Elephas maximus indicus: one gene and its partner. The protein of the gene in region 2 interacts with the protein of the main gene of each other region in a biochemical or structural test. Links are inferred from orthologs where the notes say so. Each region holds a gene or a part of one and is shown on either strand. Other genes may lie near its edges.

Region 1 (10,983 bases), on a different chromosome or scaffold from region 2:
TTACTACTCATGGGAATCTGGGACAATGAGAGACTGATGGCAGGGTAGGAATAGGATATCATTCATCTTTACATCCTTAGCAGTATCTAGTACAGTGCCAACTATGAAACTGCTGGATGGCAGAAGGAAACGATATATCACTTTTAGAAAGAATGATAATAAAATCCTACCTGATTATGATAAGCTGTAAATTGTCTCTTTGGGGAAAAAAATCTGTGTATTACTTAGGCAATATATCATTCTCATTATTATTGTAAATTCTCTGCAATCACTCAGATGCCATGATCCCAAAGCTATCTCATACCCACTTTTCAAAACAGACTGTGGTTTAAACCTTAGAGTAAAGTTACTCAAAGTGTGGTCCATGGACTTGTGCCAGAATTGCCTTTAAAAGTCAGGTATGAGTTAAGTAAGGAAATTCAAAGAAAGCTTCAAGAAGTTTCATAACACGCCCAAGACTATGGCCCTAAGGCACCCCTCTGACTTGTAACTGCAGCCAATGCAGGAAACCACCTACCAGCCAAGCAACAGACAGGCCTATAAAATAAACAATAACGCCTGAAAAGAACATGCTCCGTAGAACAAACAATTATCCGAGACCAAAAGGGCAACATTTGCCCAAAAGTAAAGGTGAAAAGGCAGGGGTAGGAAAACCAGACAAGAGGAAATAGGGAACCAACGGCGGAAATGGGGAGAGTGCTGACACAGTGTGGGGACTGCAAACCAATGTCATGGAACACACTGATATAAGTTGTTGAATGGGAAACTAATTTGCTCTGTAAACTTTCACCTAAAACACAATAAAATATTAAAAAAAAAAAAAAAAAACTTTCACAGCAACTTAGCAGAGTAATTTATGTCCATTGGATCTAATAAAAATTTTAACTTTTATGTCTTTTTTTTCATTTCATTTTTCTAGAGATCCATTTTTATTGTATTTTACAAAAGTATCAGTGTGCAAAGGACTACAGGTTAAAAAAAAAAAAAAAAGTCCATCATAGATAGCTTGGAGCAACTTAACTGCTGAGGAAGCCAACTCTCAGAGACCTTTTCAAGCTTTCACTACTTTCAGTTACTGTTCTCATAAATGTGAAAAAAAAAAAAGTAGAAAGAGATTAAAAAATGCAGGAAGAAAATAATACCACCTAAAATATTCTCATTTTCACTTTGGTTTTACAAATGGCACCATGATGTAAAGATTAAATGTAATGTAACAGGCTTTCAGCTTTATATTCTTATCAGTACCACTACAAGTTTTTAAAATTGTAATTTATCGTGGCACATTTCACTTAAGGTTCTAACCCAACTGGTTCTCAATAATTTCAAGGTGCACCTGAAACCATTAAATATTATTTACACAGAAGTGGAAAACCTTAGCTAACAGATTTGCCTAAGGCCAAAGAATTTCCAGTGTACAGCTTGCAACTCTGGATTCTCCAGGATTCTCCATGTCACTTTGTCCCATAATGCAAGAGACATGTTAGAACTCATTCACAAATAAATGTTCACAGAAAACAGCAAAGAGATAAAAGGAATACTTTTTAAAACTTAGAACTCTGTCCATGGATCTGAAATCTTCTTTCTTAAAACTCAAAATAAGTAAACTATTTGGGGGGGGGGGGAACTAAGTTATAGTATTTCATAGATAAACTGGCAGTAACATGCTTTGACTTTATCTTCCATTTTACGGAATTGCCTCAGAATGCTTAATTTGCTTTGACAAGGTACAACAAGGTGACATGTGAACATGTGAAATGTACTGATGCAAAGTCTAGCTCATTAAACTTATTACTAAAAATTCAAGCTTCAACATGTTAGAATCATATCATTTTAAAAATTACATTATTATTTTACTTACGCATTGCATAGGGTTGCCATGAGTCGGAATCGACTCGATAGCACTTTATATATATATATCCTACAGTCCTAAAAAACCAGCGCTGACACAAAAGTGTAAAAAATGTCCCATCTACATGATTTCCCAACCTAATTTTCCAAAGTTAGTCTGTAAAACTATACCTTAAGCACCTAAACTATACACACCCTAAACATTTCCTTAAAAAATTTTTAACCACTCAAAACAAAAATTCTTTAAAATAGTTAGGCAAAATGAGGTTCAAATGAAATTATAAACGTTTAAAAGCTACTCCTCAAACCAGGGAGAATTCTTGGGCAAAAATGTGGGCCTTTATCCACTCAACAATAGCAATGATACAAGTTTAAAAAAAAAAAAGGTAAATTTATAGACTGTAACAGTCAATACATGATACTTTAAAATTAATAAATGACCCTCAGTACACAAGGAAAAATGCTTTCACTGTAACTTTCTGATTCATACATTACACAGAATTTAGCATATTCCAAAGTTGAACTATTTAGCACACTGCTTGCTACAGCTGCACTTTTATTCCATCATGTCAATCAGAAATCTAAATATATCCTAGAATAGAATAAACTCTCCCCAAGAAGACAGTTGTAATGTGTTATTAGATTTTGGGAACGATCCCCACTTCTCTGGTGTAAACAAATGTTTTAGCATATCCTACTGAAATCTTCTGCAATTTTCATTAGAAAGGCAATGTTGATAAAAGGTCCTTTTTTCTCTTCAATGAGTTGTAAAAGGAAATTATAGCTATCTGTGTGGGATTCTCTTGTGAAAGACTACATGATAGCAATCACACATACAATGTAAAATTAAAAACAGACAAAAATAGACACCTTGCCTTTCATTTTACTTGCTAGAACATTCAGCACACCAAAAAGGCAGAAAAAAAATTAAAATACTAGCTTTAAGAATCCCTATGTATTGAAATAGCAGAGTATGCTTTAAATCTACATTCAGCAGGTCAGTTAAGGATCAAAAATGAATCTTTTAGTTCCTTTGTCAATATTGACAGTAAAATACTGGATACGGTGAATATGAGCAGATGTGTTCTCTGCTTCAGTAGAACAGGAAGTCACCTTTGAAAAAGTTAAATTATAAAACTGAAATGCCAGACAACCATCTGCTTACCAAAATGATTAAATTAACCACTTAAAACTTTTCTTTTCCTGACTTCAAAAGCAATCAAGAGACTGTTAAGATTTTAAGGCAAGTTTTCACCTCAATTTGAATGCAACTTTCTGGGTAACAGTACATGTGAAAATCACAAAAAGTGTTTCCCAAAGCATGATGACTAGTAAATACGCCTCTCATCCCTGAAACCATCAGAATATGGTCCCCCAAATCCCTATTACTGGACTAAATGCTTTCCAAAACGAGAGGGGAAAAAAACTTAAATTTTCCAAAAGTGCTATTCAGTAAAAGACGAAATGTATACATCTAAATGGGAATGACAGCAGGAAAGTACAGGGAAATGTTTCATGAAAAAAACTGCTCACAATCTTCCAATCCAAGCTTTTAGTTGCATTCAAATTTATTTCCACACAACAAAGCAGGAACATTCACTCTTTCCTTACATAATAGAACTGAAACTCTTGGAAACTTGATGAACAACCATCAAACTATTTTAAACGAAAAATAAAAAGAAGTGGCCTTTACTAAACACCAATAACCTTTCCCAAGCTGAATACATTCTTGTTAAGAATTTTTTTATTCATGTGTTCAGAATATTGACCCTTTCCTCTACATTACTGAATAGGTGGAGCGGGAGAACGGGTGCTGTTTCCACTCCTGCTTGAAGTTCCTCTGTCTGAATTTTAACTTTCCAAGGGAGAACTTCTGGCTTCCTTTCTCAAATGTCATTATCTGGGTTCAACTTAGGGCAGGCAATTCTTGTTGCTTCGGCTGTAAATCGAGACCATTACCAAGAACTGATCTTTTGGGGCTGTGAGGTGACCTAAATGCTTGCAATCCTTAGTTGCATCGGCCGGATGCCAAGTACCACAAGAACACACAACGGGATTTTCCTAAGGAAAAAGCTGCCTCCTTGCCCGTGTGGCTTCTTCACTCAACAGTACTTACCAAGGAAGAGGAATGAAGGTTTTGACACAAACGGGTCACGCGACTAGCAGACTGTCCCCCGGCCCCTCTTTTAATCCAAACGCCACACGTACCACTTACCTTGTATGACATGCTCTGGTGAGATGGTCTTCTTTTCCGATTTGTTGCAAATCTCATTGGCTTCAGAAGATATAAGGTGAATGAATTCAGTGCAGCAGTTCACCACCAGCTCCCGGGCATCGTTGGCCACCCGGACATTGGGAAGAGTCTCTTTGATCATCTTATTGATAGCAGCTCTGGGTATAGTGAGATCATCATCGTTGCCAGATGAGGAAGCCATCGTACATTCCTATCTCTCGCACCCGACTTTTAAAAACTCCCCAGTTCTGGTCCACTACTCCACGGAGATTTCTGAAAAGGCCCCCTTCGGAGAGTGACCCTGAGGGGCGCTCTGAGAAGAGGGTGCAGAAAATAAGGGGGGAGGAGCTGGCTCGGCCAGGCGGGGAACACCCGAGTGTGTGAGATTTAGGGCGAGGCTGGTAGGAAAGTCGAAGGGCTGAGTGTTCTGGGGACAGCACTGCCGGGCCGAGGAAGGGTAAGCTTGGCGTGATCCGGAAATTTGAGGTGCTGGGCAACCACCTTCGTGTCTCCTCAGCGGGGCAGGAGCTGTCGCCTAACCGGACCCCAACGACGCCGGAGCAGAGGCAAAATCCAGGGGCACTGGCCTCCCCGAGGCACCGGACGTACACCCAGCGAGCTCGGCTCTACAGAGCCTGAGCCGCCGCCACCCCCGCCAGGAGCCGTTGCCGCCGCCTCGGCCAAACCATCCTTCAGATACCCGTGCCACCGCCTCACAACATGTCGGCCTCGGCCGCTGCTGGAATTGCGGGGGCCGCCTGGGAACGAATACAAACAGGGTAAAGCACAGGGAAAGCCGCAGTGGCAGCCCCGTGGCCGTTTATCCCGAACGCAGATCGTAGAAGCCGCAGCGGCTCCAACCGCGGCCCCTCCAGAAGCCTGAGAAGAAGGTTTGCCGGGAGCAGCTCCCGACACCCTTTGCGCCACCGGAAGCCTCGGCTCTAACCAGTTTCCCCCACCCTACCAGACCGACTTCCGGGTGTGGCTGCCACCCTTCCCCCACCCGCCCCGGCGGGAAGCACGGGGTCTCTCAGTAGCTTCCGCCTGTCCCGGGTCCGGCGTGCGGCCCAGCATCCCGCGCCTTCACTGGGGCCGTCGCCGAGCAAGCGCGCGCCTCACGGTACCGGGGAACCCTGGGAGCGCGCTTGCTCCAGGGCTGGGACCGCAGACGGTGGGTAGGGCGGGTGGATGTGAGAGAAGAGTTCAGTTCCTTCGTCTCTACTCTCCCACCACCAGCGGAGGCCTCGAAACCCTCCCCCAGCCGTTTTGGGGGACAAAGGAGCCCCGGATTTCCTTAAAAAGAACTCTCTGCTTTTCCTTAAGGAGACCAAATTGGTCTTGAAAGAGGAGACTACCCGAGCTTGGACTCGGGGCTGAGGATGTGGGGAAGGCAGAACCCCGTATGCCTGGTGTCTGCATCGTCCGGAAAGAAAGCTTTTGAAGATTTCTAATGGACGTTATTTGGATCACAGCTCACTATGGTCCTCCACCCATTTTCTCGTTTTTTATGGGAAAGGAGATACTCAGAAATAACTTGCCCAGTCACTACTGGAGGCTAAGCGAGAAACTAGAAGTCAGATCCATCGTAGTGGAAACGCCTAGCGTACAATGAGCCACATTACGAGATTTTAACGTAGCCATTTTTCACGTCGGATTGCACGTTTGCTTTTGGAGATGAAAAAAAAAAGTACTGTAGAGCATCTTAACACAACTCTGATTTTTGCCCCTCCAAGGTGACCCGTAATAGAAACTGGTGTCAAATTCTTCACAAAAATTGCATTATTTAAAAAATTGTGTCATACTGTCGTTTGGAAGAAGAGGCTACATTATAAATTATTGGGTGTAGAGATTTCTAAAAAATAAAGATACCATTTAAATCAGTTTTGGCACTTTAGTTCATCAGATACATTGGAAGGCAACTGACTTGTTTAAAATGTTTTTTTAAAAAGGTTTTATTTTGGTCTAAAAGCACATCCTAGGTGTGTGGCATCTGGAGGTGTTTTTCAGTTTATTACACTGTGTTTTCTCATTCAACATTTTCTCCAAGACATGTGCCGGGATCTTTGATTTCTAAAGTGTGGACGCTTGATTTTCAGTGCTAGTAAGTTTAGTCCAGACAAAAAAATTACTTAATAAAACAATATTTTAAATTTTTCTTCAAAATAGGAATGTGGAACTGTTGGCTCAGGTGTAACATCTTCATGAAGTGGTTTTGTCAGTCAGTTTACTGTTAGTTCAGAGAGAAAATTTAATTAAATACAAATAGCAGTGTGATATGTAATGAATATGCTAACCTGGATTCCATATTTAAATATTTATTTATAGTATAATATAGCCCTATTATAAATAGGAGCCCTGGAGGCACAGTGGTTAAGAGCTGGGCTGTTAACCAAAAGGTAAGCAGTTCAAATCCACCAGCTGCTCTTTGGAAATGCTATGGGGCAGTTCTATTCTGTCCTATAGGGTTGCTATGAGTCAGAATCCACTGGAAGGCAACGGATTTGGTTTTTTTGGTATTATAAATAGGCTTTTGGGAACAAGGATAACATCTTAATAAGCTTTATGAATCTTAAAGTACATATATCAGACATTTTTTCATGGTATCCAAAAATTCATGATATGACAGAAAACAATAGTACTGTGAGTTATTTTTTTATGATTATTTAGGCTTAACTGCTATAGTAATTATCTTAAAATATGTTAATTTATAGATACCCAGGTCTTCAGCTAAAATTACTAACAATAATACATAACATTCATAATTTGAAGCTTGACATTTCTGTTGCTAACATACAAATTGCCACTTGGTAACAATTCAAATTTCTTAAAATCTATCCTCTACTTCTTTTATGCTCGGCACTGTGCTAAATGCTTTTACCTGTATTATCTCATTTGATCCTCACAGTAACCATGTTTGTTAGATACTGTTTTAATCCCCATTTTACAGATAAAGAAATTGAAGTTTGGAAAGGCTAAATAACTTACCCAAGGTCAGTGTAGTAGCCAGGATAGGCTAGATTATGTTGCAAGAATAAATAACTCCCACACCTCAAAAGCTTTATTTCTTGCTCGTGCTCTGGGTTCATCAAGGGTCATCAAGAGGGCTTCCTTCATAGTCTCTCAGGGATCCATTGGAACAGTTGGGAAGAAAGAGGCTTGAAATACAGGCTTTTGAAAGATGGAGAGAAAGGAAGAAAGTATTTGTATTCAAAGTAACAACACAAAGTTGTGAAGACAAATTATTCTGGGAACAGTGAGAAGACTACCCTCCTTGCAGGAGTGAGAGAGAAAGGAGAACGCCAAAGACATAAGGCAGAAGGGATTAGAATAGCGTTACTGACAAAAACAGCAAAACTGAAAGGGAGCAGTTTAAAGAAGATGTGCTTACTTTTGCACATGTCTGGGTTTGAGGCATTTAAGGAAGTGATGTCGGGTAGGCAGAGGAAAGAGAAGACAAGCAGCATCTGATTCCTGCATTCACTCAACAACTGAGAGTCTACTGTCCTAAGTATGATGTGGGAGAAATAAATCTGAATAAACCACTCTTCTTGTTTTCAAGGAGCCCACAATCTGGTGGGAGAGGCAGAATATAAACCAGATGGAAATAAAATGCTGTGATAAAGACAGAAGATGGTGTGTACAGAGGAAGGAGTGATTGACACACCAATTGTGATATACACAGGGCTTTATGGAGGGCCCAACATTTCTCTGAGTCATGAAGACTAAGTAGAATTTTAATAAAGAAGAAACACAAAGTGCATTGTATGGCTTGGGAAAATCAAGTAGCCTAGAGTGGCTCTTTTTGGGGGGTTTATGAATTAGTGTAGTGGGATATGATGCTGGAAAAGTAAATCAGCTAAAAAAAAAAGCTAACAAAACAAATCAGTGCCTGTTATGAATGATACACTGTACGGGAAGTTTTCATAGGCATTGTTTCATTTAATTCTGATACAGCCCTACATACTAGGTGTTCTGACAGATGCAAAAACAGATTTCGAGGTGTCAGTAGAAGGAGGAGGGAATTTCATACAGCAGAGCAGCAAAAGCTCAGTGAGACAGAACATCGTGGTATTCTTGGTGAGCCGCAATATTTTGGTAGAGGATGTAGGGTAAGGAGCATACGAAGAAGTAGCATGAGAGAAAGCTATTCTGGTAAGTATAATAGTTAAGATTATTTTGGTTGCTAGTTAAATTGACTTTACTGGATACTGGGGTATCTCACAGAAACTTAGAAATTACTGAACAACCAGGGAAATTCTGTAGAACTCGGTAGTAGGAATCCATAAACTGTCTTCCTGATGGGATGTAAACAACTTTCCATCTCTCTGCCTCTTTGATCAAAATTCCAGTTTCCTAGTGCAGTAAGTGTTTGGCCAACCTGGATCATATTTCCACTCCTGTGTTATTCAGCATGACCAGGCTGCAAACTATGTGTGTGGATGTTTGCTGTTGTTCCATCCCTTTGATGGGAAGGGAGTTGTCACTGTGAACTGTGCAGCTGGCCTAAGAGGTGTTTCTTGTGTTCTATTCTTAGGTTGCTGAAGCCACATACCCTTTTCCCCCTATGTACAATGATAAAAATGCCTCCAACCAACATGACCCTGCCATCCCAGTACAACAGTTCTGCATCTGCACCCTTACCCAGCCTAAAGATGCATCCAACTGGTGGAAAGAATGTCTTAATGTTACTTTTCTCCTAGTCCTGACCTCTGGATATCAAGTATCCATTCCTCTTCTAGTTCTGGCATAGTCTCATTTAGGTGTGGCTCCTCCTGGTCCTCAATCCATGGACTAAATTATGATTACTATCATCACACTCTACAAATAATTTCACTGGGAGTGGGGACAGCAGTGATTGTTCTCATTTTAAAAGGGAAACAAACAAAACCTCGTTGCCATCGAGTTAATTCTGACTCATAGCAACCGTATGGGACAGAATAGAACTGCCCCACAGGGTTTCCAAGATGTGGCTAGTGGATTCAAACTGCTGACAACTTGGTTAGCAGCTGAGCTCTTAACCACCATGCCACCAGGGTTCCTTAAAAGGGAAAGGTAAGGCTAATTTTTCAGTCTTCAGGCATTCCAGCAAAATGTGCAGACCACTTTTTCCTATTCTGGTTCCTGAGGCTATAGCTGGTATACATGACTACCTATGCCGGGTTTCCTTGGTTACAATCTGGCTGGCTGTGGTTCCTTGCCTAGTAGGGTGATTTAAGCCTTCATTTTTGAGAGGTCTAAGCCCTTGGTGATGAGCAGCATCAAACATGTCAAATTAAACAAAGGCAATGCAGCAGATTGGAGGACGACTCTGAGGTAGAATGACTGGGGACCAAGAAATATTTGTGAATAAATGGTTCCTATTTTACAGATGATAAAACTCAAGCACAAAGAGCCTAGGTAACTAAAGTGAAAGAACCAGGGTTTAAACCCAAGGTGTCTGGCTCCAAAGGAACTCTTCTTCATAGCTATGTTATGCTGCCCCAGCGCTGCCAATGTGGAGATTGAGTTCGGTGCTGGGCCTTCCATACCCGTTGCCAATTGAGTTGATTCCAAATTATGTTAACCACATGTGTGTCAGAGTAAAACTGTGCTCCATAGGATTTTCAGTGGCTGATTTTTAAGAAATAGATCTCCAGACCTTTCTTTTGAGGCGCTTCTGTGTGGACTCAAACCTCCAGCTATTCAGCTAGCAGCTGAGCAAATTAAATGTTTCCACTACCAATGGACTCCATCTGCATGGGATTAAATCATATCATGGCTCTTCAATTTTAGTCTTGTTTCGTGAGCAAGAATAGGTTACTTAATTTTTTTTTAAGTCTCGGTCTTTTAATCTATAAAATGGAGGCACCCTTTAAATGTGTGGCGTTTCATAAGTGAATTTATAAAATGGCTATTTGCCTTAGGCTGGGTTCTCTAGAGAAGCAAAACCAGTAAAGGTATAAATATATATATATATTATATATATATATATATACATATATATATATATAGAAAGAGATCGCATTGGGTAAATCTGCTGCAAAGGACCTCTTTAAAGCATTGAAGAGCAAAGATGTCACCTTGAAGACTAAGGTGCACCTGCCCCAAGCCATGGTATTTTCAAAAACATCATATACATGTGAAAGCTGGACAATGAATAAGGAAGACCGAAGAAGAATTGACGCCTTTGAATTGTGGTATTGGCGAAGAATATTGAATATACCATTGACTGCCAAAAGAATGAACAAATCTGTCTTAGAAGAAGTACAACCAGAATGCTCCTTAGAAGCAAGGTTGGCGAGACTGCGTCTTACATACCTTGGATATGTTGTCAGGAGGGATCAGTCTCTGGAGAAGGACATCATGCTTGGCAAAGTACAGGGTCAGTGGAAAAGAGGAAGACCCTCAAGGAGGTGGGCTGACACAGTGGCTGCAACGATGAGCTGAAGCATAACAACGATTGTAAGGATGGTGCAGGACCGGGCAGTGTTTCGTTCTGTTGTGCATAGGGTCACTATAAGTCGGAACTGACCCAACGGCACCTAACAACAACAACAACAACAACAGAAAGAGATTTATGTCAAGGAAGCAGCTCATGTGGTTGTAGAATCTGGAACGTTCCAAGTCAGTGGATCAGGATAGAAATTTCTCCTGATTCACGTAGCCGCAGGGGCTGGTGAACCCAAGATTGGTAGGTTGGAGAGCAGAGCTCTTGCTCACAGACTGTGAAGACTGATGAATCCCAAGATTGGCAGGTGAGACTGCAAGGATTCTCCCAATTCACATAGCTGCAGGGGCTGATAAACCCAAGATCAGCAGGTTGGAGAGCAGGGCTCTTGCTCACAGGCTGTGAAGATCAATGACTCCCAAGTTTGGCAGGTAAACTGCTAGCTCAATCCCAAGAAGAGGCTGTCGGATGAACA
Region 2 (11,487 bases):
CACTCCTGAACCAACCACTGTGGCCACAGCACTGGTGGTGCTCTAATTGGCCAGGCTGGTGCCATGTTCCCACCCCTTAACCCCAAGGAGTGGGGTCTGCTGCACAAATCACAGATTGGGAATGGCGTAGAGAGGAATGGTTCCCCAAAACAAAATAGCGGTGCTATTACCAGAGGGGGAGTGGATGAGAGGCAGACAGAAGCAACATACGCCCCCAGTCTTCAGCACCCCTGGCCAGTCCACCACCCACTCTATGCTTGCAGTACGGTTTTAACTCATTTCTCCCTCTTTGCCTCCCTGAAGCTGGGGGCGACGTTGCCTACTTCACAGAGAAGTCAGATGCCAGCAGATAAAAACTGAACACTCATGCCTCCCACCAAAATCCAGGCTCTCTGCCCTCACCCTGGTGGGGTTGGGGTCTTCCCAGGCCCCCACCCACCTCAATCCATCAGTTATCCCCCCTCCTATCCCTTCAGCCCTCCTCTAAAAGCTTGAGTTTCTGCCATTTTAAAAAAAAAAAAAACTGCTTCTTCATCTTTTTCACCCCAAGCCACTGCTCTCTCAACTCACTTTTAAGTGTTGCTTCCGCTCACCTCTGAGTTTCTCACCTCCCACTCCTTCTGTCTCATCAACAAGTCAACCACCACCAACCCACTGAAGCAGCTCCTGCGATGCTTCCCCTAAAGCCAAAGGACACCTCACAGGTGCCACCTTCCTCATCCAAGGCATTGACAGCTGACCTCTTCTTCCTTCCATACACACCTGGGTGACAACACCCGTGGCTCCTGGTGGCCCTGGAATCTGGCCACTTTTCAGTCTCCTTTGGTGTCTGTCCCAGTCCCTCTCCTCTCTACTTTGTCATGGTTCACACACCTGTCTCCCACGTCCACCGCCCACTTGACAGCACCCCTTTTAGCAGTCTCAAGGTGTGATGGTTAATTTTCTGTGTCAACTTGGCTAGGTTATGGTTCCCAGTGGTTTGGCCAAACTAGACTAGCTGCTGTTCCTCCAATGCAATCTAACGTAGTTATCATTTTCCATAATCTAGTTTAATGCAATCAGTTGAAAAGGGAGTTTCCTCAGCGTGTGTTCTGCCTTTAGACTATGTTGTTGTTGTTGTTAGGTGCCACTGGGTCAGTTCCGACTCATAGTGGCCCTATGTACAACACAACGAAACGTTGCCCGGTCCTGTGCCATGATCACAATCGTGATACTTAAGTCCATTGTTGCAGCCACTGTGTCAATCCATCTCGTTGAGGGTCTTCCTCTTTTCCACGGACCTCTACTTTACTAAGCATGATGCCCTCTCCAGGGACTGATTCCTTCTGACAACATGCCAAAGTATGTAAGATGCAGTCTCGCCATCCTTGCTTCTGAAGAGCATTCTGGTTGTTCTTCCAAGATAGGTTTGTTCCTACTTTGGGCAGTCTATGGTATACACAACATTCTTCACCAACACAATTCAAAGGCGTCAATTCTTTTTCGGTTTTCCTTTTTTTTTTTTTATTCATTGTCTAGCTTTTGCACGCAGATGATGCGATTGAAAATACCATGGCTTGGGTCAGGCGCACCTTAGTCTTCAAGGTAACATCTTTGCTTTTCAACTCTTTAAAGAGATCCTTTGCAACAGCAACGACTTTAGACTGTAAGTATTTTAGGTATTTGGGCAGAATGCACTCTCCACTCTGCCCTCTGTCGTCTGATCTACAGATCTTGAGATTAAAGCCTGCATTAGTCTCCAGCCTTTCACCTGACCCACGAATTTTGTACTTGTCAGTCCACCACAATCCTGTGCACCAAATCCTTGAAGTAAAGCCGTGTATATATACAGAATAAGATCTGGTGGTGAAAAAGGTTAAGCACTCAGCTACTAACTGAAAGGTTGGTGGTTTGAACCCACCCAGCGACTCCGTGGGAGAAAGACCTGGCAATTTGGTTTCTTAAAAAATATAACCAAGAAAACCCTACGGGGCAGTTTTACTGTCATGGGGTCACTGAGTCAGAGTCAAGTCAATGACAGCTAACAACGTGCATATATATGCATACATGTATAGCTCACTGGTTCTGTTCCTCGGGAGACTCTTAAGATACATAAGCACTCCAATTAATCACAGACACACTTGTGATCCCGAGGCCACATCGTCCTCTTCCTCCTGTGGCCCCCAGCTGGAAAAAGACCCCACCCCCACTGAAGTTGCTAAAGAAAGAAACCTGGGGGTTGTCCTTGATAACTCCCTCCCTCTTGGCCCCATGTCCGGCCATTGACAGTGGTCTTCACGGAGGCCCTGTCTGTCCACTGCCCTTCGGACCCCTGCCCCACCTGACCCAGGCTGCTATGGCCCTTGATACCCTCCTGCAGGGTTCCCTGCTCCTTGATGCCTCCACAAGGAAGTCATTGACTTGTTAAAACCAGATATAATCACAGCCTCCCTGGTCAGAAATGCCTGTTGAATGACCAACTGTGTCACTGCCCAGCTCGAAAACCGGCACGAAGCCCTTCATGATGATGCCTACCGTGCCGCTGCTCCTTCCCACACCCTCTATCACACCAGGCGCAAGTGGGTCTTCAAAGCCCATTCCCATTACTTATCCCGCCTAGCCCTCCCCAGCAGCCCAAGGTGGGTGGAGTGGGCTCCACGCAAGAGATGAGATTGCTAAGAAAAGGGCAGGAGCCTGCCCCGTGCCCCCCAGCATACCCAGCACCTGCTGGCTCAGCCCCCAGGCCGCTCCACCCGCCTTCCTTTCATCAACATCTTTAGGCCTGCCCCAGGCAGAACCTTAGACTCTGGCCTCTCCAGTGGACCTCTCCCTTCCCTTCACTCAGCCACTGCCCAGCCCACCACTGCCCCTGGGCCCAGCTCAGTGGGGGGAAGGCAGGTGAATGGGAAAGTGGCCACAGAGCCCCAGACAGAGACTGGAACAAACACCGATGTTCCCTTTTATTTTTTTAATAAATTTAAGAACAGCTTTCTTTTCTCCCCCCCCCCCAGAACAACTAAAACCAACTAAAAGGGGGTGTAGCCTGGGGGGCAGGGGGCGCTAGGAGTCATAATCCTCTTCATCCTCTGCATCTGGTCCTGATGGGCCCGGGGGTGCTAGGGGCAGAAGCACAGTCGAGGTGAAGGGCATGAAGGGTGTCGGGGGGCTGTGAGGCAGAAAGCAAGAAAGGCTGATCAGACCACGCTCTGGGCCCATTCCTGCCTGTGGAGCCCCACCCCACCCTCTACAGAGGCAGGCAAGGAGCCCATTACCCTTTGTGCCCACAGGAAGCCATGCCCCAGAGAAGAGAAAGGCCCAACGAAGGTCAAAGAGCTTTGTCAAAGCTCTGTCCACTGTCCCCACCTGGGGGGAAAAGGGGCCTTCTGAGAGCACAACTCAGTTCCTCCCAGTTCCCCCCAAATCTGCTACAATCCACAGAACCAGTGTCCGTAGAGGACAAGAAGGACAGGCCGGCCTTGGCAAGTGGGCTGGTCCTCCTGGCTCGGCTAAGCTGCTTACCTTTGAAAGTGGGGAGGGGGATGGCTGGCCTGGGGTGGGGGCTGTGGTGTCTCCTCTTCCCCCTCTGTGTCCGTGTCCTCAGACTCATCCTGTAACGGAAATGGGTCAGAGTAACAAGAAAAGGGATGTCTAGACCTATCACTGGGGACCCCAGAGCTCTGGGAGTGGTGGGACAGGACACAGATCCCAACAGATCCAATTTACAAACAAAGAAACTAAGGTGTAATATGGTTTCTGGTAAGGATGGGTACCAGCCTCCAGCCAGCTCAGCCTGATGCTGAGGCTTCCAGGTGCCACCCTCTCCATCACAGCTGGGCCAGACAGAGCTGGGCCTCCTCACCTCCTGCTCTGAGTCCGTCCCTGACAGCTTCTTGTCCTTGCCTTTGCTGCCCATGCCACCGTTCTTCCGGCTGCTGGTGCCTGGCTTCCGGCCCCTTTGGGAAAGTACAGTCCATGTGCCCAGGGGTCTCCCCTCTCCTGAAGCACCCCCAATCACCACCTACCCCTGTGGCCTTGGCCTTCCCTGCCTGGACACCTGGCCCCCCACCTGCGGGCACCCTTGTCTCCATCCATGTGGTTGTCTTCCCCGTCCCCCTGCATGTCAGGCACGGAGGCCACCAGGTCCTTCAGAAAGTCAAACTGCTGCTCCAGTTCAATGCACTGCTTCCTGGAAGAGAGGGAAAACAGCACTCAGACAGGGTACTCGGGTAGGGCCCAGCGAAGTGGCCAGGATGTCAGGGAAGGGGGAACTATAAGAGCTCCCTCCCCGTCTCCACCACCAAACCTGTGCTCTCTGCTCAGGTTATTTCCCCAGCCTGGAACACCCAGGCCTTGCTTCACGGGTCCAATCCCACTGTCTCCAAGCCGTCTCCCACCACCCTCTTGTTTAGAGCTCCCCCGCCTAGGAGGTAGAGTACAGCCCCCTTAAGAGAGAGAACTCGTGAACTTCTCGGCCAGGACCCCTCCCAGCCCCGCGGGCCACTCACAGGTGGGACGTGGTCATAGTCTTGGCATTGCGGGACTGGGTCACCTGGCAGGCCTTCTTCAGCAGCGACTCCAGGAAGAGCTCCAGCGCCCGGGCTGAGCGGTGTTAAGGAGAAGATGGTAGGGGGATTCCCGACCTGCCCCCCTCTCCCACGCCCCCCAACCGGCCAGCCCCCGGCAGGATACAGATGATGACAGGCACAGCCGCCGCCACCTTCCCAATCTCCTCGTCAGTCTGCATGATCTTCTTGATTCGCGCCTGGGGAGAGGGGCAGAGTTCGGACCCCACCACTTCCTTCATGAAAAAGGGTACTGGGGGTACGAGAGGGAATTCCGGGAGAAATGCGCGGGAGGGGGGGGCACAGAAGGGGGAAGGGAAGGGGGCGGGGCGTCCGGGCCCCCGGACGCCCGAAGTGCCCGCCCCCCCCAGCGGGGCTCGGGCCGGGCCTCCAGGGAGCCGGGCCTGCTCCACCCCAGCCTGGCCACGTGCTCACCGGCGGGAACCGCGCGTTGTACTTCTTCTTCTTGCTCGGCATCTTGGGGCCTCTCCCGACGCGCCGGGCCCAGCGCCGCCGCCCGCAGCCTCCCGGCCCCCGGGCCTGCTCACCGCCCGCCCGTCGCGCTTCCCCCGGGTCCTGGCGCCGCCTGCTCCGCCCCCCGCCGCTGCCCACGGGGTCCTAGTGCCGCCGCTCAGGACGAAGCTCGCAGCGCACAGGGCCCTCCCCTTCACCCTCCGGGGCGGTGCGCGTCTCCTCCGGCCGTCCGGCCCGCCTCTCCCTCCGGCCCTCAAGGCCTGAAGATCGAACGTTAGCTCCGCCCCCCGGCCGGCCCGCCCCCTCTGGTTCCCGCGATGGCCCCGCCCCTTCCTGTCGGCCCCGCCCAGCCCAGCTGCCCGGCGGCCCCGCCCCGTGGCTGCGCTTGTCTATAAAGTTGTTGTTGAAGCGGCGAGCGCTAAGATGGCGGCGGCGGCGGCGGCCGTGGCGGGGGCGGGGCGCGGTGGTGGCGGCGCGGAGCCCCGGCAGGAACGGAACCGCGCCCGGGGCTGGGCCGGAGCCGAACGCAGCGACGGCCGGAGGTGACGGTGGGGCCGCGGGAGGGGTAGGGCTGGGGCGGGGGCCTTGGTCGGTCTGCGGGTGCTAATGGCGGCGGGCGCGGCGGGGCCGGCGGCTGGCCCTCCGGCAGGCTCTAACCAGCCAAGGTTCGAGTCCGGGCACCGCCCCATCGGCCTCGGTCCCGTCACTGCCTCCGTGGGCCACAGTGTCCTCGTCTTTAAGTGGGCACGACGACGCCCACCGGGAGGCCTGGTCCACAGGGCGCGCCTTGGGTGCTGCGTGAATGTGCCTCCCTCCATTAAATCCAGAGCTCCGGATCCCTGCCGGGCTGAGACCAGACGAAGAGCGCTTTGATAGGGCCAGGAGGCGTGATGGGGCCGGGAGCTTCCACCCCTGGATTCACATTTTTCTCTGCCACTCAGTACAGGTGTGACCTTGGGCAGTTCCCTTCTCTCTGAACGTCAGTCTTCTTGTCTCTAGGTCAATGAGAGTAATGACAATGGCAGTAACACTTATGTAGCGCTTACTGCACCTCAGGCATTTAATTCTCACGGCAGCTCTGTGAGACAGGGAAGGTTGTTACTCCGTTATGAAGTAACTGAGGCACAGTGATATTAAGTCTTGCCCAAGGCCACACAGTTTAGGCCAGTGCCTGGCACCTGTTAGGGCCCAGCTATCGGTAGTTATTGTCCCAGACCTGCCCTGACTCAATTCCCTCACAGCAGGATGGAGTCCGGTGAGGAGCCAGAGGAAGAGGACTCTCCAGGCGGCCGGGAGGATGGTTTTACCGCTGAGCACTTGGCTGCAGAGGCCATGGCAGCTGACATGGACCCCTGGCTGGTGTTTGATGCCCGCAGTACGCCCGCCACTGAGCTGGATGCCTGGTTGGCCAAATACCCACCATCCCAAGTTACCCGCTATGGGGACCCTGGCTCACCCAACTCAGAGCCTGTGGGCTGGATCGCAGTGTATGGGCAGGGCTACCTCCCCAATTCTGGTGATGTACAGGGTCTGCAGGCAGCTTGGGAGGCTCTGCAGACTAGCGGGCGGCCCATCACACCCAGTACCCTGCGCCAGCTGGCTATCACTCACCAGGTGCTCTCAGGCAAGTGGCTGATGCACCTGACACCTGGCTTCAAGCTGGACCATGCCTGGGCTGGCATTGCCCGAGCCGTGGTCGAAGGCCAGCTTCAGGTGGCCAAGGTGAGCCCACGGGCCAAGGAGGGTGGGCGCCAGGTCATCTGTGTTTACACAGATGACTTCACGGACCGCCTGGGTGTACTGGAGGCAGACACAGCCATCCGGGCTGCAGGCATTAAGTGCCTGCTCACCTACAAGCCTGATGTCTACACCTACCTGGGCATCTACCGAGCCAACCGCTGGCACCTCTGCCCCACTCTCTACGAGAGCCGTTTCCAGTTGGGAGGTGATGCCCGCGGCTCTCGTGTGCTTGATCGAGCCAACAATGTGGAACTGACCTAGTGGGGCCAGGCAAACAAGACCACCTTGGGATGGACCATCCATGCCAGTATGGATGTTCCCACCTTCCTCCTTGTCACCCCAAGGAGGCCAGGCCCCAGCTTTGAGGACTGGGTTAGCTCTTTTGGAAACTGCCTGCATCTTTCATTCCCTTGAATCTCTGCCCTCTGATCAGGACTAATGCCAGCCCCCACAAGTGGCGGGGCTCTGGCTTGCTGAGGGCCGGGCCCTCAGCCTCTCTTCGCTGCTGCTCCCCTCAACCTCCCAGGACCACAGGCCGGGGCCAGATGCTGGGGGAGAGCCGTCCTTGGCCACCCCCGTCACCCCACCAGGCTGCACCTTGCCTCCTCCTGCACTGTCCCTTTCCCTTCCTCCTTCACGAGGGAGAAAACTCAGTGCTTCCAGTCTTTCCCCTTGGAGCCTTCTAAGTCCACAGGGCAGGGGTCCTGCGGGCCTGAGCATGCCATTGGGGGTAGAGAAGTAGTTGTGTCACTCAGCCCCTGGCAGAGAGAGGGGACACCAGGGCCCAGGTCACCGGGCCTGCCCCTCCGTGAGATTTACAGCCTGCACCACCTTCCTCCCCTCCTCATATCTTGTCACGTGCCTGCTCCTGGCATTTCAATAAAGCCCAGCTTGGGTCTGTGTCTTGAGTGTTTTTTAAGGCTGTATTGGTGGTTACCTCCTTTGGCTGCTGAAGAGATGCAGAGCCAGGAGAGGACTGCTCCCCAGGCCTGGCCTCCTGTCTGCCCACGGTACTAAGACATGCCTCACCAAGGCCCGGCTCCTCTCAGAACCTCTGTGAAGCCAGCCCTGCTTGTCCCATCCCAAAAATCAGAATCAGTGATTTCCTATAAATGCAAGGGCTTGGCCCTTCCAGAAAGGCCCAAGGGGCCACTATTAGCCTCATTTTTAGGTGTGATATATGTGCCTGTATATGTATAGCATAATGTATTTGGGCATATTAAAGAAAGATGCCCGCTGGGAGAGGCAGCCTGGGCAGGCCTCATGGTTTGGTGAATGGAGAATGGGCTGCATTTCAGTGTCCTAGGCTGGACACACTAGTGCAGGGAACAACCTACACAACCTTCAGTGATGGTCCTGGAAGGTCTCCCATTTATACTCACCTCTCACACTGCCCTGTCAGAGGGGCCACTGGACAGTTTGCAGAGCACTTCCACATGCATCATTGAATTCTCACGTCTTTCTGAAAGAGGTATTGGCCCCATTCTGTGGTCAGGAACACTGAGGCCCAGAGGGGAAAGGGAGTTCCCCAGGATCATGTGGTGAGTTGAGCAGAGACAGCTAGAATTTGCACCCCACCCCTGCCTCCTCTGCCTCTAAGAGGAAACCTCACCCACGGTTAGCTGTTCACAACCCACAAAGCACTTTCACTCCCGTGATCTTGCTGAGCTCTTGTGCTAGGCTACTGGAGCCTCTGGAGCCTGACTCCAACCCCCCGCCCCCACCCTCGCCTGGCCCTGGCCTTGGTCGGGGGCCAGGTTATCTGGCAGGGAGCCCCTTGGGACACTGCTCTCGTGCCGTGCCGGAGCTGAGTCAGCCTCCAGCACCCTCACCAAATTGGAATTTGGAGCAGGGAAGCGGAGATGCCACTCGGCTGACTGGGTGGAAGTGGATGAGTCAAGTGATCCTGGTTCAGCTTCCTCCCCACCCGACTCCCGGGTACAAGCCTTGGGAAGTCCCTAGAACGGGTGGTCTCTGAGCTAGAGCCTGGTGCCCTGCTCCCTCTGGCCCACAGTGCCTTGGCCAAAGAGGGCCAAGGCTTGGGGGTCCTGGCCAGGCCCTCATGGGTCCTGTTAAGATGCCCATATGGCGTCAACAAGACCTGGTTCACTGAGCAGTTAGCACGCTCATCCCCTCCTCTCCCTCTAGCCCAGACTGCCTCCTGTACCCCAACCCCTCACTGCCACCCACATACACAGCTCTGTCAATTGGTCTCTCTGTAGAGGGGCCATGGCCCCCACAGCCTGCAGGACGATCTCCACCCACTGTCCAGCCTCCCTTGGGCACCCCATCTGCCTTGTGCTCAGCCCACTGGCGCCAATTGCTACTTCCTTCAGCCCCTGGCACGTAGCCCCGGGCCTCCGGCTGTGCCTTCTGCTTGAGCACCTGCCATGCACCACCATGTTGGGTATGACCGTGTGGTTACTGTGCGATTGCTGATTGATGTCTAGCGCCCCGCTGGCCCCTACGCCATGTGCCCAGACTATGTGCCCCACAGTCTGTGAGGGCAGGAATGGTGTCCACATCTCAGCCCTGTCCTTGGAGCACCCTCTCCATAAATGAATAAGTGTGCCGACGACTCCAATCTGGCCCCTGAAGACTTTTCAGCCTAGTCTCGCTTCCACTCCCTGCTTCAGCCTCTCGTCCCAGAAACATGAGCTGCCTCTGGTTTTCTCACACACACTCCGGGCTTTCTCACGTCCCTGCCTGGACACGTGCCCTTGCTCTCCATGGCCCTGCACGTGCCTGATCCTCAGGTGTCATCCTCCCAGAGGTTTCTCTTTCCTGGCCACCCTCGCCCCACCCTCACCCCAGCTGCAGAAGCACCTCCCCCAGTCCCTTTGCCTCTGGCTCTCATTTGTGTACCTGTGGTGCCTTGAGGACAGCGGCCACACTTTACCTCCCAGGGTGTCCTCGGTGTCAGGCACAGGATCTGGCCTAGCGCAGATGCCAAGAAACATTGGTTGACTGAACAGTTGAAGGCAAGTCACCCTGTTTCCGGGCCTCGGTTTCCTCATTCTAGGAAATCATAACAAAAGGTAGGCACTATGCTAAGTGTTTACCTACTTTATCTCATTTAAGCTTCACTGGGCTCTGGTGTTGTCGCCATTTGGCAGAAGAAACTAAGGCCCAGAGAGGGTTAGTAGCTGGCTCAGGGTTACAAAGCTAGTAAGTGGAAGAGACAAGATTTGAACCCAGGCTATCGCACTTAAGGGCACCTGATGCATGACCGAGCCCCCGCTACATGGATGTGCTGCTGGGGTGAGGTGGCGAGAACAAATAAGCCCCAGCAAGGACTTAGGATCCAGTTTGTACAGCACTGAGGTAACGTCCTCAGGACTCAGTGGGAGAGACGCTGGGCCCAGAAGACTCCCATTTTGCTGATTAAGAAATTGAGGCCCGGACAGTGCAGGGATTAAGCCTACCTGGGCAGGAAAGGTCTCTCAGGCCTACGGTGGGGGCTGCTTCCCTGGTGGCCCAAGGGCTCCCTGAAGCCCACCTCCTCTGCCTGGCAGGGGGCTCTACCCTGTTGGCCAGCCCCCTCCCACATGGGTGAATTGGACAAGCCCCTGTGCACTGCTCCCTTCTAAAAAGCCAGGGGAATGGCTGAGACAAGAGAAATGAGGAGATTCCCCACTCTTTCTCCTCCCTCTTACACACACTGTGAACCCCCAGACCCCAGGGGGTAGTCGCCAGAGTGGCTGGCCTGGGAGGGGGAGAATATCTGCACAACCCCTGACTCCAGCCACGTTCAGGGCTGACTCCAGAGGACAGGAAACAGCTGAGTTGGGAGAAAGCTTCTGCCAGAGCTTTGGCGGGGTTCTCAGGGATTTTCCCGGCAGGGCAGCTGCACCCAGCTCCCGCTCGCTGGGAGGGGCCCTGGCAGGGATGAGGCTTGGATCACACGGCTGATTCATCATGGCAAGAAACTCCCCACTTCTCTGACGCGCATCCCTCAGGCACTGAGAGGCAACCTGAAGACACCGGCCCCACAATCCCCCAATCCCAGTTTTCCTGGCCACTGGCCTCCTGGCAGGGCGAGGAAGACCCCCAGTCTCAGCAGAGGGACAGAGGGGAAGGCAAAGGGCAGGGCTTAGGGGGCAGCTTCCCAGGCAATAAAAACCAGAAGCTGGAACCCTCTCTGGGCACCTCAGGCATCCTCCCCTCACCCATTTTATAGATGAGGAAACCGAGGCTTAAATAATAAGAGCAAATGTGTACCCAGACCTACTCTGTGCCAGGCACGGCCTATGCACTCTATATACATTATCATTTCAGTGCTTACAACCTCCATTTTACTGATGAGGAAACTGAGGCAGAAAAGGTTAAATAACTTGATGAAGGTCAAGGCTAACCATGACCCGGCAGCCACCACATCACCCATGAGTGCTAGTACACACCCCCGCGACAAGGAGCTTTGTCCCTGCTCCCCGAGCAGCTCTGGACCCTGGGATCAGAGACCTCCCTGGAGTGGTTTGCATTGATTTCTGGGGATTTTCCACCCTTGGGCCCCAACTCTGCCCCTGGGGACTCTAGAGGACAAACAGGTCACCCACTCAGCTTCAGCTCCTCTCCCCCAGGGATAAGGAGAGAAAGCTGGCTTCTGTGGAAAAATCTGCCAAACCCTCAGAGACCAGGAGAGGACAGTGAGGCCTTGCCGCCAAAATCTTCCTCTGGGGCTTTGGCTCCATTCCAAACCTCAATCCTTTGCTCAGGAGTCAGAGCCTCCCTT

What was found.
Region 1: the proteins of DRAP1 (region 2) and DR1 form a complex in vitro, tested with the Homo sapiens proteins (2 studies listed by BioGRID). The link is inferred for Elephas maximus indicus from reciprocal best matches to the Homo sapiens genes DRAP1 and DR1.

The regions. Positions count from the first base shown.
Region 1 is NC_064821.1:148,820,230-148,831,212, forward strand, and holds the start of DR1 (protein Dr1), read right to left. Parts: upstream 5,010-10,983; 5' UTR 4,284-5,009; coding exon 4,064-4,283; intron 1-4,063. UniProt on the Homo sapiens protein: The association of the DR1/DRAP1 heterodimer with TBP results in a functional repression of both activated and basal transcription of class II genes.
Region 2 is NC_064825.1:129,056,315-129,067,801, reverse strand, and holds DRAP1 (dr1-associated corepressor), read right to left. Parts: upstream 5,142-11,487; 5' UTR 5,019-5,141; coding exon 4,977-5,018; intron 4,742-4,976; coding exon 4,669-4,741; intron 4,579-4,668; coding exon 4,485-4,578; intron 4,166-4,484; coding exon 4,046-4,165; intron 3,933-4,045; coding exon 3,839-3,932; intron 3,588-3,838; coding exon 3,499-3,587; intron 3,146-3,498; coding exon 3,040-3,145; 3' UTR 2,903-3,039; downstream 1-2,902. Other genes in the region: C7H11orf68 (UPF0696 protein C11orf68 homolog), read left to right, coding at 5,439-5,557, 6,257-7,016. UniProt on the Homo sapiens protein: The association of the DR1/DRAP1 heterodimer with TBP results in a functional repression of both activated and basal transcription of class II genes.